Elephas maximus indicus: one gene and its partners. Each later gene encodes a partner of the first gene's protein in a complex. Links are inferred from orthologs where the notes say so. Each region holds a gene or a part of one and is shown on either strand. Other genes may lie near its edges.

Region 1 (6,639 bases):
GACTCGTAGTGAACCTATGTACAACAGAACGAGTCACTGCCCAGTCCTGCACCATCCTCAGAATCATTGTTAAATCGTTGTTTTAGAACTTTATAGAGGTCTTTTGCAGGAGATTTGCCCAATGCAATATTTTGTTTGATTCCTTGACTACTGATTACCACCCTTCAGTTTGTCATACTGTGGTAGCTATCGTGTTTCTGTGATGTTGGGAGCTATTCTACCAGTACTTCAAATACCAGCGGGGTCACGCATGTGGTCAGGGTTCAGTGGTACTTTAAGACTAAGACAGACTAGGAAGAAAGGTCTTGCAATCTACTTCCAAAAATCAACCAATGAAAACCCTACAAATCACAACAGGATATTATCCAAAATATCACAAGTACCACAGCCTCCACTAGACTGAGTCCAGCACAACTAGACGGTGCCTGCCCACTGCCACTGGCTGCTCTGACAGGGATCACAGTAGAGGGTCCCAAACAGAGCTGGAGAGAAACGTAGAACAAAATTCTAACTCACACACACACAAAAGACCAGACTTACTAGTCTGACAGAGACTGGAGAAACTCTGAGAGTATGGCCCCCTGGACTCCCTTTTAACTCAGTAGTGAAGTCACTCCTGAAGTTCATCCTTCAGCCACAGATTAGACAGGCCCATAAAACAAAACAAGACTAAATAGGCACACCAGCCCAGGGGCAAGGATGAGAAGGCAGGAGGGGATAGAAAAGATGGTAATGGAGACGCGAGGTTGAGAAGGGGAAGGTGTTGACATGTTGTGGGGGTGGCAACCAACGTCACAGAACAATACGTATTTAAATTGTTTAATGAGAAACTGATTTGCTCTGTAAACCTTCATCTAAAATACAATAAAAAAAGAAATAAAAGAATATTGTCCGATATAGTGCTGGAAGATGAGCCCCCCAGGTTGGACCAAACCAAAACCAAACCCGTTGCCATCGAGTCGATTCCAACACATAGTGACCTTTTAAGGACAGAGTAGAACTGCCCCATAGGGTTTCCAAGGATCAGCTGGTGAATTCGAACTGCTGACCTTTTGGTTAGCAGCCAAGCACTTAACCACCATGCTACCTAGGTTGGAAAAAAAAAAATTTTTTTTTTTTAAGGCACTCAAAATATACAGTGGCCACAACAATGGACTCGAGAATACCAACAATCGTGAAGATGGCACAGGACCAGGCAACATTTCATTCTATTATATGTGGGGTCGCCATGAGTCGAAGTCTAGAGCAGCAAACAACAAGAGCAGTAACAAACATAACTTAGTTGATGAATTTTAATCCAATGACACACGTGCAGATGACGTATATCATGTGTGTGTATGTGTATATATGTACATTAAAAGAAACCAAACCCATTGCCGTCAAGTTGATTCCAATGCATAGCGACCCTAAAGGACAGAGTTGAACTGCCCCATAGGGTTTCCAAGGAGTGCCTGGTGGATTTGAACTGCCAACCTTTTAGTTAGCAGCTGTAGCTCTTAACCAGTATGCCACCAGGGTTCCCGTACGTATATATATCCATAGTACATCACTATAGGGAACCTGGATGGTGCAAGCAGTTTTTGATCAGCTGCTAACCTAAATGTTGGTGGTTCAAACCCACCCAATGGCACCATAGAAGAAAGGTCTGGCAGTCTGCTTTCATAAAAATTACAGTCAAGAAAGTCAGCTTTGACTCATGCAGACCCCATGTGACAGAGCAGAACTGCACGTAGGGTTTTCTAGGCTGTAATCTTTACAGACACAGATGCCAGAGAGAGATCTGTCTCTTCCATGAAGTGGCTAGTGGGTTCAAACCGCTCACCTTTCGGTTAGCAGCCTAGCATTTAACTGTTGCAACACCAGGGCTCCCTATAAAACCATTATAAACCAAAAACCAAACCCACTGCGTTGAATGGATTCCGACTCCTAGTGACCCACAGAGACTCTATAAGACGGAGTAGAACTGCCCTGTATGGTTTCCAGGGGGTAGTCTTTACGGAAGCTGACTGCCACATCTTCCTCCCACAGGAGGACTGGTGGGTTCCAACAGCCTACCTTTTGGTTAGCAGCCAAGGGCTTAACCACTGAGCAACCAGGGCTCCTTTATACCAATATATATAATGATAATTATATGTAATTTGGCTGAGAAATTTAAAGGTATCATACATTGAAGCCGTGGTGTGCAGTAGTTAAGCGCTCACTGTTAACGAAAAGGTAGGCTGTTCGAACTCACCAGCCACTCCGTGGGAGAAAGATGTGGCAGTCAGCTGCCGTAAAGATTAAGAAAAAAAAAAAGAGTACAGCCTTGGAAATCATATCGGACAGTTCTATTCTGTCCTATGGGGTCTCAGAGTCAGAATGACTGACTCCATGGCAACGGGTTTGGTTTTGTGGGTTGGAGCCCTCGTGGGTTAAGAGATTGGCTGCTAACCAAAAGGTCAGCAGATCGAATCTACTAGTTGCTCTTTGGAAACTCTGTGGGGAAGTTCTACTCTGTCCCATAGGGCTGCTGTGAGTCGGAATGGAATCCACTGCAATTTTTTTTTTTTTTTTCATGTACACGTACAGCGCGGCCCATCCAATTCCTGAAAGCACGCAGAGGCTGCAGTGCCCAATCGTCCTCCCCGCCATCAGAGGGCGCTGCAGACACTGCGCAGGCCCTGCGTGTCCCCTCTATCCTCTTCCACCCTTCTCCCGCCGCGCTGTTTTGTTTCCGGTTCCTCCGGAACTTCAAGCTCCGAAAGCGGGGAGTTTTGTTTCCAGCTCCGGGGCGGCCGGGGCTCCGGGTGGCGATGGACTGGAGGTGAGTGTTGGGTTGTTCCCTCCTGCCGCGTGGAGCGCGCCCCTCCCGGCCGGCTTCCCACCCTCCGCCAGGCCTGTTCTCTGCAGGCCTCCGCCGCTGCACCCTGTCGGCCTCGGTCCCGGGCCTGCGGGAGCCCCTTCTCCGGAGGCTCCATGCACACAGCTCAGGCAGCCCCCTGAGAAATTTTCTGCTGGCGGGGCCCGCGCCCAATTGTCCTCTGCTCTCCACGCCCTGTGCGGTAGGAGAATGAATGAATGAGCACGAAAATGAATGAATGACCGCCTGTTGGCTCTCTCCGCAGGTGACACACGAGCGGGTAGGAGCCGTGAGAGGACGGGGACAGAATGAACCGGGCCAAGACCGCCACGGTCCGGAGGCCCAGCGCTGCGGCTAAGCCTTCAGGCGAGTGGTTTCTTCCTGCCCCGGGGCTGCGGGGTCGGTGGGGGCTTCTCGGCTTTGCCAAGTAGCCCGAGTTGGAGCTTCGCTATTCTGCAGCGGAGGCTGCTTCCAGAAGGGGGTCTAGAAGAGTAGCTCTCAGATCGGGTTGACAACAGCAACGTGAGAGGTTGGGTAGAAATTTAAGGGGCAGTGTGTATGAGTCGGAATCGACTCGACGGCAGTGGGTTTGGGTGTTTATGTTACTGGGGGCGGAACAACTCAGAAAAGGACGCTGAGGTTGGTGCGCATAAACTGGAAGAATGCAATCAGTATTACTGAGTTGTATATGTAGGAACTGTTGACTTGGTATGTGTTCAACTGTGTATGTTTTCAAAAACACCAAAAATAAAATAAGTTATTGAAAAAAAAAGAACTGTATGGGATCAAATTGACAACAGCAGCTTGAGAGATTAGACGGGAAGTTTAGGGGACAGTGAGCTTATGTTTGTGGGGGAGGAACAACTCAGGAAAGGGTGAGAATGGTTGCACAGTTTGAAGAATGAAACCAATGTCACTGAATCGTACGTGTAGAAACTTGAATTGGTGTATGTTTTGTTGTCTGTGTTCTCAACAACAATAAAGAAATATGGAAACAAAAATAGCTGTCAGTCCTCAGGGGTGCTGGGAGCCCTAGACTTAGAACAGCTGTGACTTCCTACAGGGACTAGGTTTCTTGTTTCATGCTGTGCCTGGAGGCAGGTGGCAGCCTCAGGTGGTCGTTAGATGTAGACTCTGGAGCTGACTCCCTAGATTCACATCCCATCTTTGCCTCTCCCCTGTTGTGCCACACTGGGCATTTTACTTCACCTCTGTGTGTCTTGTTTTCCTCATCTGTAAAAGGAGAGTGGGTTAGTTGCCATCAAGTCATTTCAATTATGACAACCTCACGTATATGGAATAGAACTGCACTCAATAGGGTTTCCAAAGCTGTGACCTTTCGGAAGCAGATCGCCAGGCTTTTTTTCCACGGTACCTCTAGGTGGGTTCAGACTGCCAAGCTTTTGGCTAGTAGTCGAGCACTTAACCATCTGTACCATCCAGGGACTCTTTAAATGAGAGTCTTTGTTATCGTTAGTTGCTGTCAGTCGATTTATTACCTATTTCAGAAACGTGTTGAGAATTAAATGAACTAATGCTTCTAAACGACTTAGAGGTGGCATGCTGTGTAGTGAGCACTGTGTAACTGAGTCAGCACTGTACCAGATCCAGCCCTGCTGTTAACCTCAGCTTGTTGGTTGCCTTTTTGGACTCTTGTCTACTCGCCTCTGAAATAACAGGAAGCTGAGTCCAGTCTCTGAGAGTCTTTTCTACCTCGGGCATTATGTAAGCATGCAACCTGTTTTCTCTGCAGGACACCCTCCACCAGGAGATTTCATTGCCCTGGGCTCAAAGGGACAGGCCAATGAATCGAAAACAGCATCCACCCTGCTGAAGCCAGCCCCTTCCGGCCTGCCTTCAGAGCGCAAGCGGGATGCTGCGGCCGCGTTATCTGGTGCCTCGGCACTGACTGGCCTCACCAAACGCCCCAAACTCTCGTCCACACCCCCACTGAGTGCTCTAGGGCGCCTGGCTGAGGCCGCGGTGGCAGAAAAACGAGCTATTTCTCCATCGATTAAGGAACCATCTGTGGTCCCGATTGAAGGTAAAATCAGTCCCTGGACTTCTCTAGGGAAAGTAGGTATACCAGGTCACCAGCAGGGGTTCAGTGGCAGCCACTTCTAGGCTTAGCACTGTATGGGGTCCTTTTTGCTTTGGGAAAACCAGTTGCCGTTAAGCCAACTCTGGCTCATGATGAGCACACGTGTATCAGGGTACAAACTGTGCTGCACAGGGTTTTCAAGGCCACAGCCTTTCGGAAGTAGATCACCAGGTCTTTCTTCTGAGGTGCCTCTGGGTGGACTTGAACCTCTAACCTCTTGTTTATCAGCTGAGCATGTTGACCACTTGCACCACCCAAGGACTCCTTGGATGAAATAGAAGTCGCATTTGCCCATGCCCTTTTAGGGCTGTGCTGTGGTTGTCTCCCTGTGCGCGTAGAGCTGCCTGGGGAGGCGACGTGCTCATCAGTGGCCGAGTGCACCTGACATTCCTTCTTGCTGATGACCTGCCCCGGGTTCCCGAGGCTTTGGGGTCTGGTGGGCATCTCCATGGCTGTCTCTCCTCTGACCGGAGCTCTGGCCACTGCCAGTCCTGCCCACAGTGCTGTTGGAGGAGCTTGAGGCAGGGGGGCTGGTGGGCATCTCCGTGGCTGTCTCTCCTCTGACCGGAGCTCTGGCCACTGCCAGTCCTGCCCACAGTGCTGTTGGAGGAGCTTGAGGCAGGGGGGCTGGTGGGCATCTCTGTGGCTGTCTCTCCTCTGACCGGAGCTCTGGCCACTGCCAGTCCTGCCCACAGTGCTGTTGGAGGAGCTTGAGGCAGGGGGGCTGGTGGGCATCTCCGTGGCTGTCTGTCCTCTGACCGGAGCTCTGGCCACTGCCAGTCCTGCCCACAGTGCTGTTGGAGGAGATTGAGGCTGCTGAGCTGGAGGGCAATGACGAGCGCATCGAGGGTGTGCTGTGTGGGGCGGCCAGGCAGCTGCGGCTCACGCGGGCCAAGCCTGACAGCACGCTCTACCTCAGCCTCATGTACCTGGCCAAGATCAAGCCCAACATCTTTGCCACAGAGGGCGTCATTGAGGTAAGAGTGGCCCCCTGTCCTGGGAGGGGGCTGGACCCTGTGGCCATGCCCCCTTCTCCACTTTCCTCCAGTGGCCCCTCTGGAATCATACCCACTGGCCTCTGGCGCAGGGGGAGACGGGAGCCTCTGCTCCCCTGGGTAACCCAAGCCCGCCTTGCCCAGGCGCTGTGTAGCCTCCTGCGTCGCGATGCCTCCATCAACTTCAAAGCCAAGGGGAACAGCTTGGTCTCTGTGCTGGCCTGTAATCTCCTCATGGCTGCCTACGAAGAGGATGAGAACTGGCCTGAAATCTTTGTCAAGGTGGGTCTGCCTTCTGGCCAGGTTCCTGCTCTGGTGGTGACCAGAACAGAGTACCGGGTAGGGGGTGGTGGCCTGATGGAGCGCAGGGAGGAGAAGGAGCACACGGGCCTGAGAGCAGAATGCGGAGGCTGCTATTGGAGCACTGGGAGAAGGAGCCCAAGGCCTGTCCTCCACTGCCTGCTCCCTCCAGAGAGCTATTTCTGGCAGCTCCAGCACTGATCCTCCCAGGTGGTCACACTGCTGGGCACACGAGAAACAACTCAGCTTGATCCCTGCTGAGGCAGAGGTGGGGCTGGGCCCAGCAACCTGGAGTGCCGGGGGCAGAGAATATGTCTGCAGGTGTGGACTCAGCTGGCCGGGGCTCTGTCCCTACAGGTGTATATCGAGGACTCCCTGGGTGAGCGCATCTGGGTGGACAGCCC
Region 2 (6,639 bases), on another chromosome or scaffold:
GAATTCAAAATTTCCAAACTTGATTTATAAACATAATTCAACTACATCTAACAACTTAGTTGCTCAATTTAAAAATAAGTTTAACGCAAAGCACTGCAATCCTTACGTGGCAATTACCTGTGGCATAAATGCAAAATAAAAACAAATGCAAAATCTTTTCATCTAGTGATGCCTCTTACAGTATAAACAACAAAAAAGCACAACCATATTGGCACAAACTAAATAAAAAGGCTCAGGAGGCATTATGTCCATCCAAATGCCAGGGAAGAAAGGAAGGAGTTTCTACACCTGCAGGATTCCATGGAAATAAACTGGTCACATCACTCTACCCTATGTGATACATGAGGGTTTTAAAGCTATTTTAAGGTAAATAAAAACAGCAATTACTTCATATCATTCAACTTCACATAGTACGGTATCTTCAAGGCCAACTGCATTCTTTCCTTCACTCACTCTTCCACACCAGCTTTCAGGCAAATGCGAGGCAGAATAGGGTGGGGTAGAAGAAAAATACAAGCAGCGCCTTTCAGCTGCCCCCCAAATAATTTCCAATAGCTTTTCCTGCCACGAAAATAAGTCGCCCTATCTCAAGATACACAACAATCATTCTGTATCTTCAGTAGACACGCACAGACACATACACAATTCAGCACTCCGTATGCCCACCCCACGCCCCAAAATCTTAATTATTAATATATTTAACACGAAGGCGGCGAGACACCTCTACCTACTGTTTCGGGGTGAGGGTGGGTGGAGGACTCCTTTCAAAGTAGCCCCAAGAGTGTAACCAAAACACGGTTCCGGAATAAAATATTAAGAACACTTTTCCTTTCCCACCTAGCTACTGACTTAAGTATGCAAAAATCCATCTCCAAACCACATCATCTCTACAATTCTCCTGCCGGGAGTTTGGGGTGGAGATGCGTCCAGAGGAGGGGGCGGAGACGGGGAAGAGGAGTGTGAGCGGGCAATCCTACACAAACGAGTTGCTAACCCCAGCTACCCAGCACCACGTCGTCAGCCAAACGTCCAGGAGCAGGACCTCACACACGCTACTCAGCCCAGGCCCCGTTAAAAGCTATGTTTCTAGCTATCTAACTTCTTATCTTTAGACATTTATGCAATACAAATATATCACACAAGTACCCGTAACACAGTTTAAACCACAGTAATACAAACCAACACACCTCAAAATCACGTCAGTTTCCCAAACTCCAAACAGAAGACCCCCCCCCCAACTCCCGGATTCAAACCTTCCGCCCACCGTGGCGGTAACAAGGAAAAAAGAGTTGGGGAGAAGCCGACGCCTTTCAATTAATGCACCCTATAAACTGCCCCACCCCATATCCTGCGTCCAGGTCAATTACTCGGAAGCCCCTGCTTTCTCCCTCCTCTCAAACCGGCCGCTTAAGAGACCCTTCCCCATCCCACTCACTTTCTCCCCAAAGCCTCTGGGGGAAAATTTTAAAAGTAAAGAGAAACAAGTGAGGGAAGAGACTTGAAGTAGTCCGGTTTCAAACTGCTCGACTCACCTCAGAATCCTCGCTGAGTTCTCTCCGCCCGGCACAGCCCCCTCCCCAACGTCCCAGTACGAAAAGCTGAGATAGGAAGGAGAAAGCGGGAGGGGGAGGGGTGTCTTCCGCGTGGGGAGCCCGGCGGGTGGGGGCTGGGGAGGGTTTGAGGCCCGCACAGGAAGAGGAAAGGGAGGAGGGGAGGCCGGTATCTCCCAGTCTCCCCGTGAAAACCTCCCTTGCCTCAATCACATCAGACTGACTGTCTTTGTCTGGCTGACAACCGCCATATTGATATCAACAGCCCCGCTCCCACCTGCTGCCGCCGGGCAGCCCTGGGAGTTGTAGTTCCTGCCTCCCTTGAGTAAAAGCTTGGGACTCCGCATCTAGACACCTCGGAGAACTACAGCTCCCGGCAAGTCCCGCATCCATTAGCCGGCCCACAGGGAGGAGGAGAAAGGGGAATCCAGACCCACCGGGACTACACCTCCCAGAAAACTATGTGTCCCAGGCCCATATGGGGGACAAGATATCATGATGGGGTGAAGAGGGAGGATGAAGAGACGGCGAGGATGACGGAAGAAGGAGTTCAGGGAAAAAAAGAAAATATGACCACAGTTCCCATGATGCATCTAGGGATGACTACATTTCCCATGATTCCTGGGGCGTGGGATGGTGGGAGACGGCCTGTCCCGTAATGCTCTGTGCAGGTTGGTGGCGGAGATTGAACCGGAAGACGCATTCTGGGTCTGAGGAGTCGAGTGATTGCTGTTGAACAGCCTGAAGTCCAATATGAAACTGGTGAGTTTCCACTCCTAGGTCAGAGGGCAAAGGTGATACCATATCCTTTTGGACTTCGTGGTTTCCACCTTGCGAAAGGAACCGTCGCGGAGGAGGGATGGCTTTTTCGGAACAGGAATATGGGGTAGACTAGGGAAATCTGCTTTTTGTAGTCGAGTAGGTCGGAATCCTCACCCTTATCCACTCCACCATGCCCCTTAAAACAGCACGGAGAACTTTTTCACTCATTGTCAGGTCAGATAAGAGGTTGACTGTCTCATTTCTTCACCTGTGAGCTAGGATTGGAGCATAGTCACCTATGACTTCTGAGCTTCCACGTGAGTATTATAATAGGCACACTGGTTGATACATGTTTAGCTCTTCTCCCTGCTGAAGCGAGTAGAAGATACTAGGCAGAACGTAATCACTTATTAAGTTTCCTGTTATAGTTTAATTATAATTGCCCTTTGAATTCAGAGAAGGAAATCAGCGTGTGATCTTGCAGGATTTGAGTTTTAAACCCTGTATAGGATTTGGATGGGCAGAGAGGAAGTGTCAAGACATTCCGGTCTAGGGCTGTAGAGATTGCATGAACAAAGGTTAGGTGGAAAATGCTAGTATACCTAGAGAAATCCTTGAATCACAGAGCTCCAGTAGCTTCTCAGATCTTTATTTTCACTCTTTACTTTTATTGTGAGTTAATTCCAACCCTATTGAATTAGTAATAGCACAATTAGAATAGGAAGGTAGCTGTGAAACACTGCTTCTCAATCTTAAAATCCTGCAACCAAGTTGTCAAGCTTCATCCATTGCCATCAAGTCGATTCTGACTCATAGCAACTCTATAGGACAGAGTAGAACTGCCTCATAGGGTTTCCAAGGCTGTAATCTTTATGGAAGCAAACTGCCACATCTTTTTCCCGCAGAGCAGCTGGTGGGTTCAAACTGCTGATTCTTTCTGTTAGCAACGGAGCACTTAACCACTGTGCCGTCAGGGCTCCTTTGTCAAGCTTTACTTTCTGTAATTTCTATACAAAAACAAATGGTTTGTTTTTCCTTTTATATAACTATTTGAGTATGCTTTTCGAAAGTACATAGCACCCATTTGATAATCATGCTACAGGCATACGCTCTGCAAAGTGGCAACTGTTTGCAGGGTGGAAGTCAGAGAAGGTATTAAAAGTAGATTCAACTCCAAAACTGTCTCCATTTAAAGCTGTTTATGTAAATTATTGTTAATACTATTGTTGCAGGACTGTCTATACTATAGTAGTTATGGTAGTTGCCCTTTATTCGCACGCTCATCTCAGTGTCCCCTTTTGCTTTGGTCACGTTCTGCTGAGTTTTCCCATATTATATATTGCTTTTCCCTTCACCAGTGTTAAGTCGTTCCTACTATATCTTTCCATCTACTACCTCTTTGGTAATTTTTCCTCCCTCCCTCTACCATCCCTGGTAACCATAAAAGAACCTACCTTCCTTCCTTCCTCCCTCCTTCCCTCCTTCCCTCCCCTCCTCCCTTTCATCCTTCCTTCCTTCCTTTTCCTTTCCTTTTTTCTGTGTGTAAGCCTTTTCTTCTTTATAAAATCAGTATCAAACAATATTTGTCTTTTTACGATTGACTTATTTTACTCACTGTATGGTGTGAGGTATGGATCCTGTTTCATTTTTCTACAGATACATATCCAGTTTTGCCAGTACCATTTGTTGAAGAGACCGTCTGTTTCCCATTCAATAACCTTTGGTCTTTTGTCGAAGATGAGCTGTCTATAGGTGGATGAATTTACTTCTCCGTTCTCAATTCTGTTCCATTGGTCTATGTTGTTGTCCCAGCACCAGGCTGTTTCAACTACCATAGCTGTATAGTAGGTTCTGAAATTAGGTAATGTGAGATCTCCCACTTTGTTCTTCTTTTGAAAAGCTTTATTATTCAGGGTCTCTTTCCATTCTGTATAAAGCTAGTGATTAGTTTTTCCATCTCACTGAAGAATGCTGTTGGGAATTGGATCAGGATTGCATTATATCTGTATATCGCTTTGTGTAGCATTGACATTTTCACAACGTTTACTCTTCCTATCCAAGAGGCATGGTGTATTTTTCCATTTATGTAGGTCTCTTTTGTTTTCTTGCAGTAGTGTTTTGTAGTTTTCTTTGTAGATGTCTTTATGTCCCTGGTTAGATTTATTCGTAAGTATTTTATCTTTTGGCGGGGGTTATTATAAATGGTATTGTTTTCCTGATTTCGTTTTCAAAGTTCTCTTTGTTGATGTAGAGGAATCTAACTGATTTTTGTATGTTGGTCTTTTATCCTACCACTTTGCTGAATCTTTCTATTAGTTCCAGTAGCTTTCTTGTGAAATCTTTAGGATTTTCTATGTATAGGATCATAAAACCAAAAATCAAACCTGTTGCAGTCGAGTCAATTCCGACTCATAGCGACCCTATCGGACAAAGTAGAACTGCCCCATATCGTTTCCATGGAGTGCCTGGTGGATTCGAACTGCCCACCTTTTGGTTAGCAGCCGTAGCTCTTAACCACTTATGCTACCAGGGTTTCCTGTATAGGATCATATTATCTGCCAATAGGGATAGTTTTACTTATCCCTTACTGATTTGGAGGTTTATTTCGTTTTCTCACTTTATTGCTAGGACTTCCAATACAGTGTTGAATAAGAGTGGTGATAAAGGATACCCTTTACTGGTTCCCATTCTCAAGGGGAATGCTTTCAGATTCTCCCTGTTGAGAATAATGTGGGTTGTTGATTTTGTATAAATTCCCTTTATTATGTTGAGGAATTTCCCTTCTATTTCTATTTTATTGAGAGTTTTTATCAGGAATGGCTGTTGGATTTTATCAAATGCCTTTTATGTGTCAATTGAGATGATCATGTGATTTTTTTTTCCTTTGTTTTGTTTATGTGGTGAATTAAGGTGATTGATTTTCTAATGTTGAACCATCCTTGCATGCCTGGTGTGAATCTCACTTGGTCGTGATGTATTTTTTTTTTTCCTTACATATGCTTTTGAATTCTATTGGCTAGAATTTCATTGAGAAGTTTTGCTTCTGTATTCATGAGGGATATTGGTCTGTAGTTCACTTTTTTAGTGATGAATTTTTTTTTTTTTTTTAACCAGCATTTGGTATCAGGGCTGGCTTCATAGAATGAATTCTAGAATATTCCTTCCATTTTTGTGTTCTGGAATAGTTTGTGTAGAACTGGTGTCAGCTCTTCTCTGAATGTTTGGTAGAATTCTCCAGTAAAGCTGTTGGGCTGGGGCTTTTTTTGGTTGAGAGTTTTTTCACGACCCCTTCAATTTCTTCTTTTGTTACAGGTCTGTTCAAATTGTTGACGCCATTTTGTGTTAGTTTATGCAGGTAGTGTATTTCTAGGTATTTGTCCATTTCTTTAGGTTTTCAAATTACAGTTTTTCATAGGGTTCTGTTATGATCCTTTTTATATCAGTTGGTTCTGTTGTAATGTCACCCATCTAATTTCTTATTCATGTTATTTGTGTCTTCTCCTGTTTTTCTTTGTCAGTTTGGCCAGTGGTTTGTTGATTTTATCAATCTTTTTCAAAGAATCAGCTTTTAGTTACATTGATTCTTTCTGTTGTTTTTGTGTTCTGTTTTGTTTATTTCTGTTCTAATTTTTATTATTTCGTTTCTTCTGGTGACTGTGGGCTTCTTTTGCTGCTCTCTTCCTAATTGTTGGAGTTGTAGGGTTAATGTTTTGATTTTTGCCTATTCTTTTTGGATGTGTGTGTTATTATCAGCCGCCCTCTGAGAACTGCTTTTGCTGTGTCCCAAAGGTTTTGGTATGTTGTTTTTTCATTCTCATTTGACTCTAGAAATTTTTTTAATTCCATATTTGATTTCTTCTATTACTCAGTAGTTTTTAAGCAGGGTATTACTTAGTTTCCATGTATTAGTTTTTTTTTCCTTGCTATTCCTATTACTGATTTCTACTTTGAGAGCATTGTGATCAGAGAAGATGCTTTGTATTATTTTGATGTTTTTGAATTTGTTGAGGCTTGCTTTGTGGCCTAAAATGTGTTGTTCTGGAGAATGATCGATGAGCATTGGAGAAGAATGTGTACTTTGCCGCTGTTGGGTGAAGTGTTCTGTATACGTCTATGAGGTCAAGTTGGTTGATAGTGGTATTTAGATCTTCTATGTCTTTGCTGAATTTCTTTTTCTTTGTTTTGTCCTTTGCAAAGAGTATTGTGTTAAAGTTTTCTAATGTTATTGTGAAGGTGTCTATTTCTCTTTTCGGTACTCTTAGAGTTTGTTTTATGTATTTTGGAGCTCTGTCATTGGGTGTGTATATATTTATTATGGTTATGTCCT
Region 3 (6,639 bases), on another chromosome or scaffold:
AGGCCTATAAAAGTATTTTTGCAAAGAAAAAAAATACAAGAGCTGTGTTTAATATAGGAGTCCTGATGGCACAGTGGTTAAGAGCTCGGCTGCTAACCAAAAGGTCGGCAGTTCAAACCCACCAGCTGCTCCTTGGAAACCATATGGAGCAGTTCTACTGTCCTATAGGCTCGCTATGAGTTGGAATCAACTTGACAGCGACAGGTTCGGTTTTTTGGTCTGGTGTTTAATATTAAATATTTGAGTCATTCAAAATTCCTGACAAGTTATCCTTTTTATGAATAAAAAATACCATTATTTAAACCACCAAGAAATAGGTATATAAGAAATATCTTCTAAAAAGTCTTTTTCTAATTGAACACTTTCTCAAATAATCATTCTCATTTGGAAATTGTGGTTTCTTATTTTAACGCTAGTGTAATTTTTATGTGCGAATTCAGGACATAAGCATTAACATTACTCCTTGAAACCTTGCTTATTCATCAAAATAATTGAGAAGCATTATTCCTCCCCCTTATGGAATTGATAAACCCTAATGTGCAAAAAAAAATCCTAATCTGCAGGCTCTTGTCTGGTCAAAGTGGTAACAGCAGGACCACCTTCAACCTCAAGCTGTTTACAGTGCAACCTGTGAAAGCCAGAACTGCATGCTTTCTCCAGGTCTTGCAAGTTTTCCACCTTGACAGGGTGTCTTACCACTTTCTATCACTCTCTGTTAGTGGAAATTGTTTTGAGTTTTTTCTTCTCTGACAGGATTCTGTCTTACACAGGTTCCAGCTTTCACAGGTTTTATTACATAAGCTTTAGACAAGAACTAATGTGTTCTCTTGTAGAAAATGGCAATTGGGGAAAGGAAAATACAGGCTTAAGTTAAAAATGTTCTCAGCCTCACCATGACAATGAGTTTTCCTGAGGAAGGACCCTAAATATTTTTAATAGGTCGTAGGAAGTGAATGTGTAGGCAGAAAGACAGGAAATTAACAGTTGTGCAATACACTGTTGTTAGGTGCCATCAAGTCGATTTTCGACTCACAGCAACCCCATGTGACAGAGTTGAACTACCCCATACAGTTTTCTATACTGTAATCTTTACGGGAGCAGACGGCCAGGATGGTTTGAACCACCAACCTTTTGGTTTGCAGCCGAGCGCTTAATGGTTATACCACCAGGGCTCCTTCTGTGCTACCCACTGACAACCTGACAAATAATCAAGCAATGGCAAGTTTTGAGTTTTTCTTTGAAGTCAAAGAAGGTTGGATAAAAACCTTAAGCATTAAGATTGTGTATCACCACATATAACAACTGGATATGAAAGGGAAAGAAATCTATGATTATTTTACAGAAATAAATTGAAGAGTTCATGGCAAATCTACCTAAATTACTGAAAGTTGCAACATGAAGCAGCACAGAAAGGGGGGGAAAGTAATGTAAGAAAATACACATTTACCTAATTAAACAATGGACGTGCAATTCGGTAAAAGTAGAAACTCATGACAATTGTGGCTGTGGAACTGGGAAAAGAAAAAATGTACATCTAAGTATACCATGGTGGTGACAGTGCTCTTCACTACGACACAGGAAACTCACTGGGTTTAACAGCCCTTTGTTATGTGTCACATTACATATTCTTCAGTATCTTTTATTTTCCAGGCCAGTGATCTCGTTAAAAAGTTATAATGGACCACCTTGCATTATTCCACAGTGAACCACCATGTGATTTAAAGCTGCATGGAAGTCTTGTCTCATCCTTAAACAGACGAGCTGCAGGTGCAATAGAGGGCTTTAGGGGTTAAGAGTGGGTTCTTTCATTATTTTCCAGACAGCCTCTTTTCCAAGGGTTTATAATAAAAAAAAAAAAATCTCCTTCAATAGTTGCTAATTGTGTATGCTTGAAAAACTGAGAAATCTTAATGTACTCAACCAGGTATTGCACCCCAATGAAAATCTGAGCTTTCAGAATAGTTAAACAATATGGTTAAATTACACCCTGATGCAACACAGAGAACAGTTTCCTAATATTTGTCCTGACTGATACAGAAATGGGGACCACTGACCAGCTGGTGTCTGTAGGCCACTGCAGTGGCTGCACATTCGCCTGCAGCGGTTCGTTACTGAGTATGGTGAGGCAGGAGGTTTCCACTTTAATGTACCAAATGAATTTCAAGGGATTAAAACCACATTCACGACAACTCAATTTTTAGCAAAGGATTCTGGCTCTAATTCTGAATTCAAGTGCGTTTTAAGCAAAAATATGAGGGATACAAAACTATACTGAGTATGTTGAGGGTTTCACATTTGTGTTACGTGCATATATTTTCTTTTAATCTGAAATGTTTCATACTTATATTTTACATATAGGTTTAGGACTGGAATGTGTTTTTCCACAAAAAGAAAAATCAGCTATTTTTCCACCTTAATATTCAACCTACCTGCCCATAGTTGTCTATGCCAGTTACTAATCTATTTAAATTTAATAAATCAAAAGCTGTCCTTAGGGATTGGCCAAGAGTCGTAAGTCCTTCAGCCTGAAGGTTTTTCAGTTCATTCATAAACGTTGCATGGTTTTCTTTCCATCCAGCCTGAAAAGAAAAATGTAAGAATTTTTTTTTTCATCTTTCAAAGCCATGCACACACGGGCAGCCGTTATAATCTGATGCTCGCCAAGTAGCTGCTTCACTTTACAGTACAACATGGTTAACTTGTTTGTTGTGTGTCACTGCTGAGGAAACTCCCCTCCAAAGCTCGCCAGAATAAACCTTCTTGCTCTATAGCTTCTGGTCATTACCAGCTGCCACACTTCACAACTTTACTGGGGAGCTGACTCTCTCACACCCCAAATTTCAGGATGTGAAGGCAGCAGCGCAGAGCAGAGGAAACTGGACTTCTGAAGTCAGCCTACAGCTGTCCCACTAGCCTGTGGCCCTCTCAGGAGCCATCCAGAGCCCCAGCGCCGCAGACCCCCGCTCCCCCACGCCCCAGCCCGAGCCCCGGGCGAGCCGGCGCGGCCGAGCCCCGGGCCGAGCCCCCTTTCATGCGGACGGGGCTGCGCCGCCGGCCCGGCTGTCACTCCGGCTAACTTGAATAAATATCCCCCACAGTTCATTGCTGCCGCTCACGCCGCGGAGGGGAAATGTCGGCCATGTTGATCGCAGCGCCGCCGCCGCCGCCGCCGCCGCGGGCCGGGCCCGGGAGGGGACGGCGATGGCCTGGCGACTCCGCGCCGCGCCGGGACGATCCAGAGCGGGGGAGGGGGTGGGAGCCCTCAGGGGAAGAAGCCTCGGGGCCGGGAGAGCGGCGGGTGGGGGAGGGGAGCATAATGAAGGGTGGACGGGGGGCGGGGAGGGCGAGCGAGGAAGGAACCGGGAAGGGAAGGGAAGGGGGGAGGGCGAGGGCTGTTACCTTGATAGCATAGGGCGGCTCTTCGAAAGTGACCAGCATGTACCTGTCTCCTCTGCTGGCGGGATCCCGGGCACGGAGCTGCGGAGAGCGGACGGGGGACGGGGAGAGGAACAGGGCGGGCGAGAGGGAAGCACAGAGGCGAGGTTACGGGCGGAGAAGGGGCGTCGAGCGGCCCCGCCGCCCCCCCACAGTACCGCACACGCAGCGGCCACCCCTCCACGTCGCCCCCCACACACAGATCGGTCCCCACACACCGCCCGGGGCCGCAACCGGGTCCGGGGCCGCAGCCGGCTCCCGGGCCGAGCCCGGCTCGCAGCGCCCGCCCGCCGCCCGCCGCCCGCCGCCCGCCCGCCCGCGCGGTGGGGGAGGGGGTCCCCGAGGCCGGCAGCTCCCGCAGTCAGGTCCCCGACACCTCCGCCTCGCCGCCCCCAGCCGCCCTCCCCCACCCCTGCCGCCCGCGGACCGCCGGGCCGGGGTCGCCGCCCGGGCTCGGTCAGTCGGTACCTTCATGAAGGTCTCTACCGCGCCTTTGGCCGTGTCCAGGTAGGTGGTGCCCAGATGGCTGCGCTGGTTCATAGAGGCAGACGTGTCTATCAGGAACAGTAAGATGGGCATAGTGCTGGCCGGGGACACCGGGGCCCGAGGTGGTGGAGGAAGACGGTAGGTGTCGGCGCCGGTGGCGGCGACCGCCGCTACGCGGGGCGGGGAGCGCGGCCCCCGGGAGGAAAACACCGTCTGGGTCTTTCCTCCGGCTGCGGGGAGTTTCTCCCCCGATAGTTAAGAGGAAACTCCCCAGACCCAGTCCTCCCCGTCGTACCCCCGCCTCCGCCTCCTCCTGCCTGCCTGCCCGCTGGGCCGGGCTCCCGGCCGTCTGTTTGTCGGTCCGTCCCCCCTACCTCGGGGGTCCCGTCCCCGCTCCCGGCCCCTGTGTGTGTCCCAGCGGGAGACGGGCCTGGCTCCCCACCCCACCCCCGGTGCAGGGAGTGGGGACCTGGGAGCTGGCGAAGGGGGGAGTGGGCTGAGGGGAGATTGGCCCTGGGGCTGTTGGGAGAAGTTTCAGGGACTCCCTCTGCACCCCAGCGGTGTCACCACTTTCTCGGCCCCTCTCGCTACTGAAGCGCTTTTCTCTCTCACACTCCGGTTTTAACTCGGGCAGGGGCTGCAGAGGCTCCGCCCCCTGACACGTCCCCGAGCCACGTGATGCACCGCCCCGCTGTTTTATTGGCTAGCCCCTAACCTTTCATTAGCATATTTAAACAGCTCAGGGGCGGGGGAAGTTCCTAGGCCGGCTCTGGGGACAGTTATTGAGCACGCGCGGAGGCGGGGCGTCGGGTACGCGCGCGAGGGGCGAGCAGGCGGGCGGGCCGACGCGGAGGCGGGCTCCGGGAAGGGGCGGGGACGGACCGCGGAAGGGCCGCGAGGTGGGGGAGGGGGCCGCGTCGGCGCGCGCAGGGCCGCCGCGCTCTTGCGCGTCAGGGCGCCGGCCTGCCCTTGGCTCTTGGAGGTGTTAGGGGTCGGGGAAAGGGAGATGCAGGCTGGCTTCAGCTGCCCTCCGAGGTCGTTGTAGTGAACCCCTTCCCCGGGGGGCGAGTGAGGAGAGGATGAGTAAAGTGCCCGGACACCCGATGAGCACAAGCGTCGGACCCGCGGTCGCCCCCCCGAGGTGGCTCGGGTCCGCGGTCGCCGGAGGAGGTTCCTTGGACCGGGAGGGCCGGCCCCAGCGCGGGCGGGTCCGGAGCGGGGGAGGGGAAGTGAGAGGTTGTTTATGACCAGGGACTGATCTCCGCGAGTCACACCGCTCCCGCTGGGGAGTGGGGACGAGGGCCCGAACCTCGCGCGGAGCCTCCCTCGGCCTGGGGAGCGACCGAGGGCGAGGGCTGGAGCCGGGGCAGGCCGGGCTCCGTCTTGTTGAGGACCCCTCAGAAGGGCAACAAACCCTCTCTCCTAACCCAACCCCGAAAAACCCTGGGAGAAGATTCCGATTTCCGTAGTTCCCCTTTTTACTCGGGAGAAGAATAACTGGGCCTACCCCCAGAATTACATTGCACAAGCCGCGTTTACGTTGGGCCGTAGAATAAATAGCAAAATCTGCATATCAGAATTGAAAAGGACCCCAACGACCGTAATGCATTACCAATATTTTACACGTGAAAAAATTGCCTTTGGCTTGCCGGGATAACACAAAATGGGTTCCCATAACCCTGCTAGTGCTCTTTCAATATGGTGCCCTCTCACGCTTGACCCAAATACCGTAGAGGGAAGAAGTTCTAACGCGAGTCTCTCTCATCCTACCTGAGGTAATGAAGCTTCTCCTAAATGTCCGAGGGATAGTGTCCTCCAAGACACGAGTTGAAACACTGAAGACACTGTCTTAAATGCAAGTTGGATTGGGGACATAGGACCTTCTAAAATGTAGCTATTAATCGGGCCTTTCCTACTAGCCTTGCATTGCCTGAATTTTTTAATTCTATTCCGAAATTCTTATTTGCTTACTGCTCATTTAGAGAAATTGTTGATATTGTTAACCACAGAAGAGATGCTATGTGGCACTTTTAAAAAAATTAAGTTTTATAAATTGGGCTTTTCCTAATCTTTACGACAGCTTCAGAAATCTGTTCATTTATGTTAGAGCTTTTTCAGTAATAATGCTGCTCTGTGATTATGTACCATGGAAGAGGTGTCATATTTTTGAGATTTGAACTGTGAAATAGGAAGAAGATGGAATACAGGCCCTATAGCCAATATTTGCTGAGGACCTACCTTGTACTAGGTGTGCTGGAGATAAAAAGTTAATCAAGTTTGATCCTAGTATAAACTCGATGCCTTCGAGTCTATTCTGACTCAATGTGACCTTATGGTCTTAGTATGGAGAAGATAAGAAATAAATAAAATATGGTCCCTGCCTTCACAGAGTTTATGGTTTTCTAGAAAAAGATGACATACATAAGGCATAAAGTGACTAGATACTAAGTAATTCAGAGAAAAGAAATATATATTGTGGTGATGAAAGAACATTTCCTAGGGTCAGTATGTTTAAGGTGCAACATAAAGAAGTATTTCTGAAACTGGAATCCTAGACCCAGAGATAAGAATTATGTTCTATGATACTTTCAAATTTTTGTTTTCATTTTTTATGACAATATATAAATTACGCGGCCAGTTATAAAGACAATTTTTCTTTCAGAATGATGGACATATTCAGAGTATAGGTCTGTAGTTTCTATTATCAGTGTTTTCAAA

The links.
Region 2: INTS1 (region 1) and INTS9 share a complex: the UniProt entries of both Homo sapiens proteins name them as parts of the integrator complex. The link is inferred for Elephas maximus indicus from reciprocal best matches to the Homo sapiens genes INTS1 and INTS9.
Region 3: INTS1 (region 1) and INTS6 share a complex: the UniProt entries of both Homo sapiens proteins name them as parts of the integrator complex. The link is inferred for Elephas maximus indicus from reciprocal best matches to the Homo sapiens genes INTS1 and INTS6.

Annotation. Positions count from the first base shown.
Region 1 is NC_064830.1:95,831,160-95,837,798, reverse strand, and holds the start of INTS1 (integrator complex subunit 1), read left to right. Parts: upstream 1-2,722; 5' UTR 2,723-2,803; intron 2,804-3,104; 5' UTR 3,105-3,147; coding exon 3,148-3,205; intron 3,206-4,592; coding exon 4,593-4,883; intron 4,884-5,720; coding exon 5,721-5,917; intron 5,918-6,079; coding exon 6,080-6,217; intron 6,218-6,592; coding exon 6,593-6,639. UniProt on the Homo sapiens protein: Component of the integrator complex, a multiprotein complex that terminates RNA polymerase II (Pol II) transcription in the promoter-proximal region of genes.
Region 2 is NC_064840.1:43,560,807-43,567,445, forward strand, and holds the start of INTS9 (integrator complex subunit 9), read left to right. Parts: upstream 1-2,159; 5' UTR 2,160-2,303; coding exon 2,304-2,312; intron 2,313-6,639. UniProt on the Homo sapiens protein: Component of the integrator complex, a multiprotein complex that terminates RNA polymerase II (Pol II) transcription in the promoter-proximal region of genes.
Region 3 is NC_064832.1:26,248,997-26,255,635, reverse strand, and holds the start of INTS6 (integrator complex subunit 6), read right to left. Parts: upstream 4,529-6,639; 5' UTR 4,015-4,528; coding exon 3,904-4,014; exon of another isoform or gene 3,769-3,903; intron 3,724-3,768; exon of another isoform or gene 3,654-3,723; intron 3,478-3,653; coding exon 3,400-3,477; intron 2,580-3,399; coding exon 2,430-2,579; intron 1-2,429. UniProt on the Homo sapiens protein: Component of the integrator complex, a multiprotein complex that terminates RNA polymerase II (Pol II) transcription in the promoter-proximal region of genes.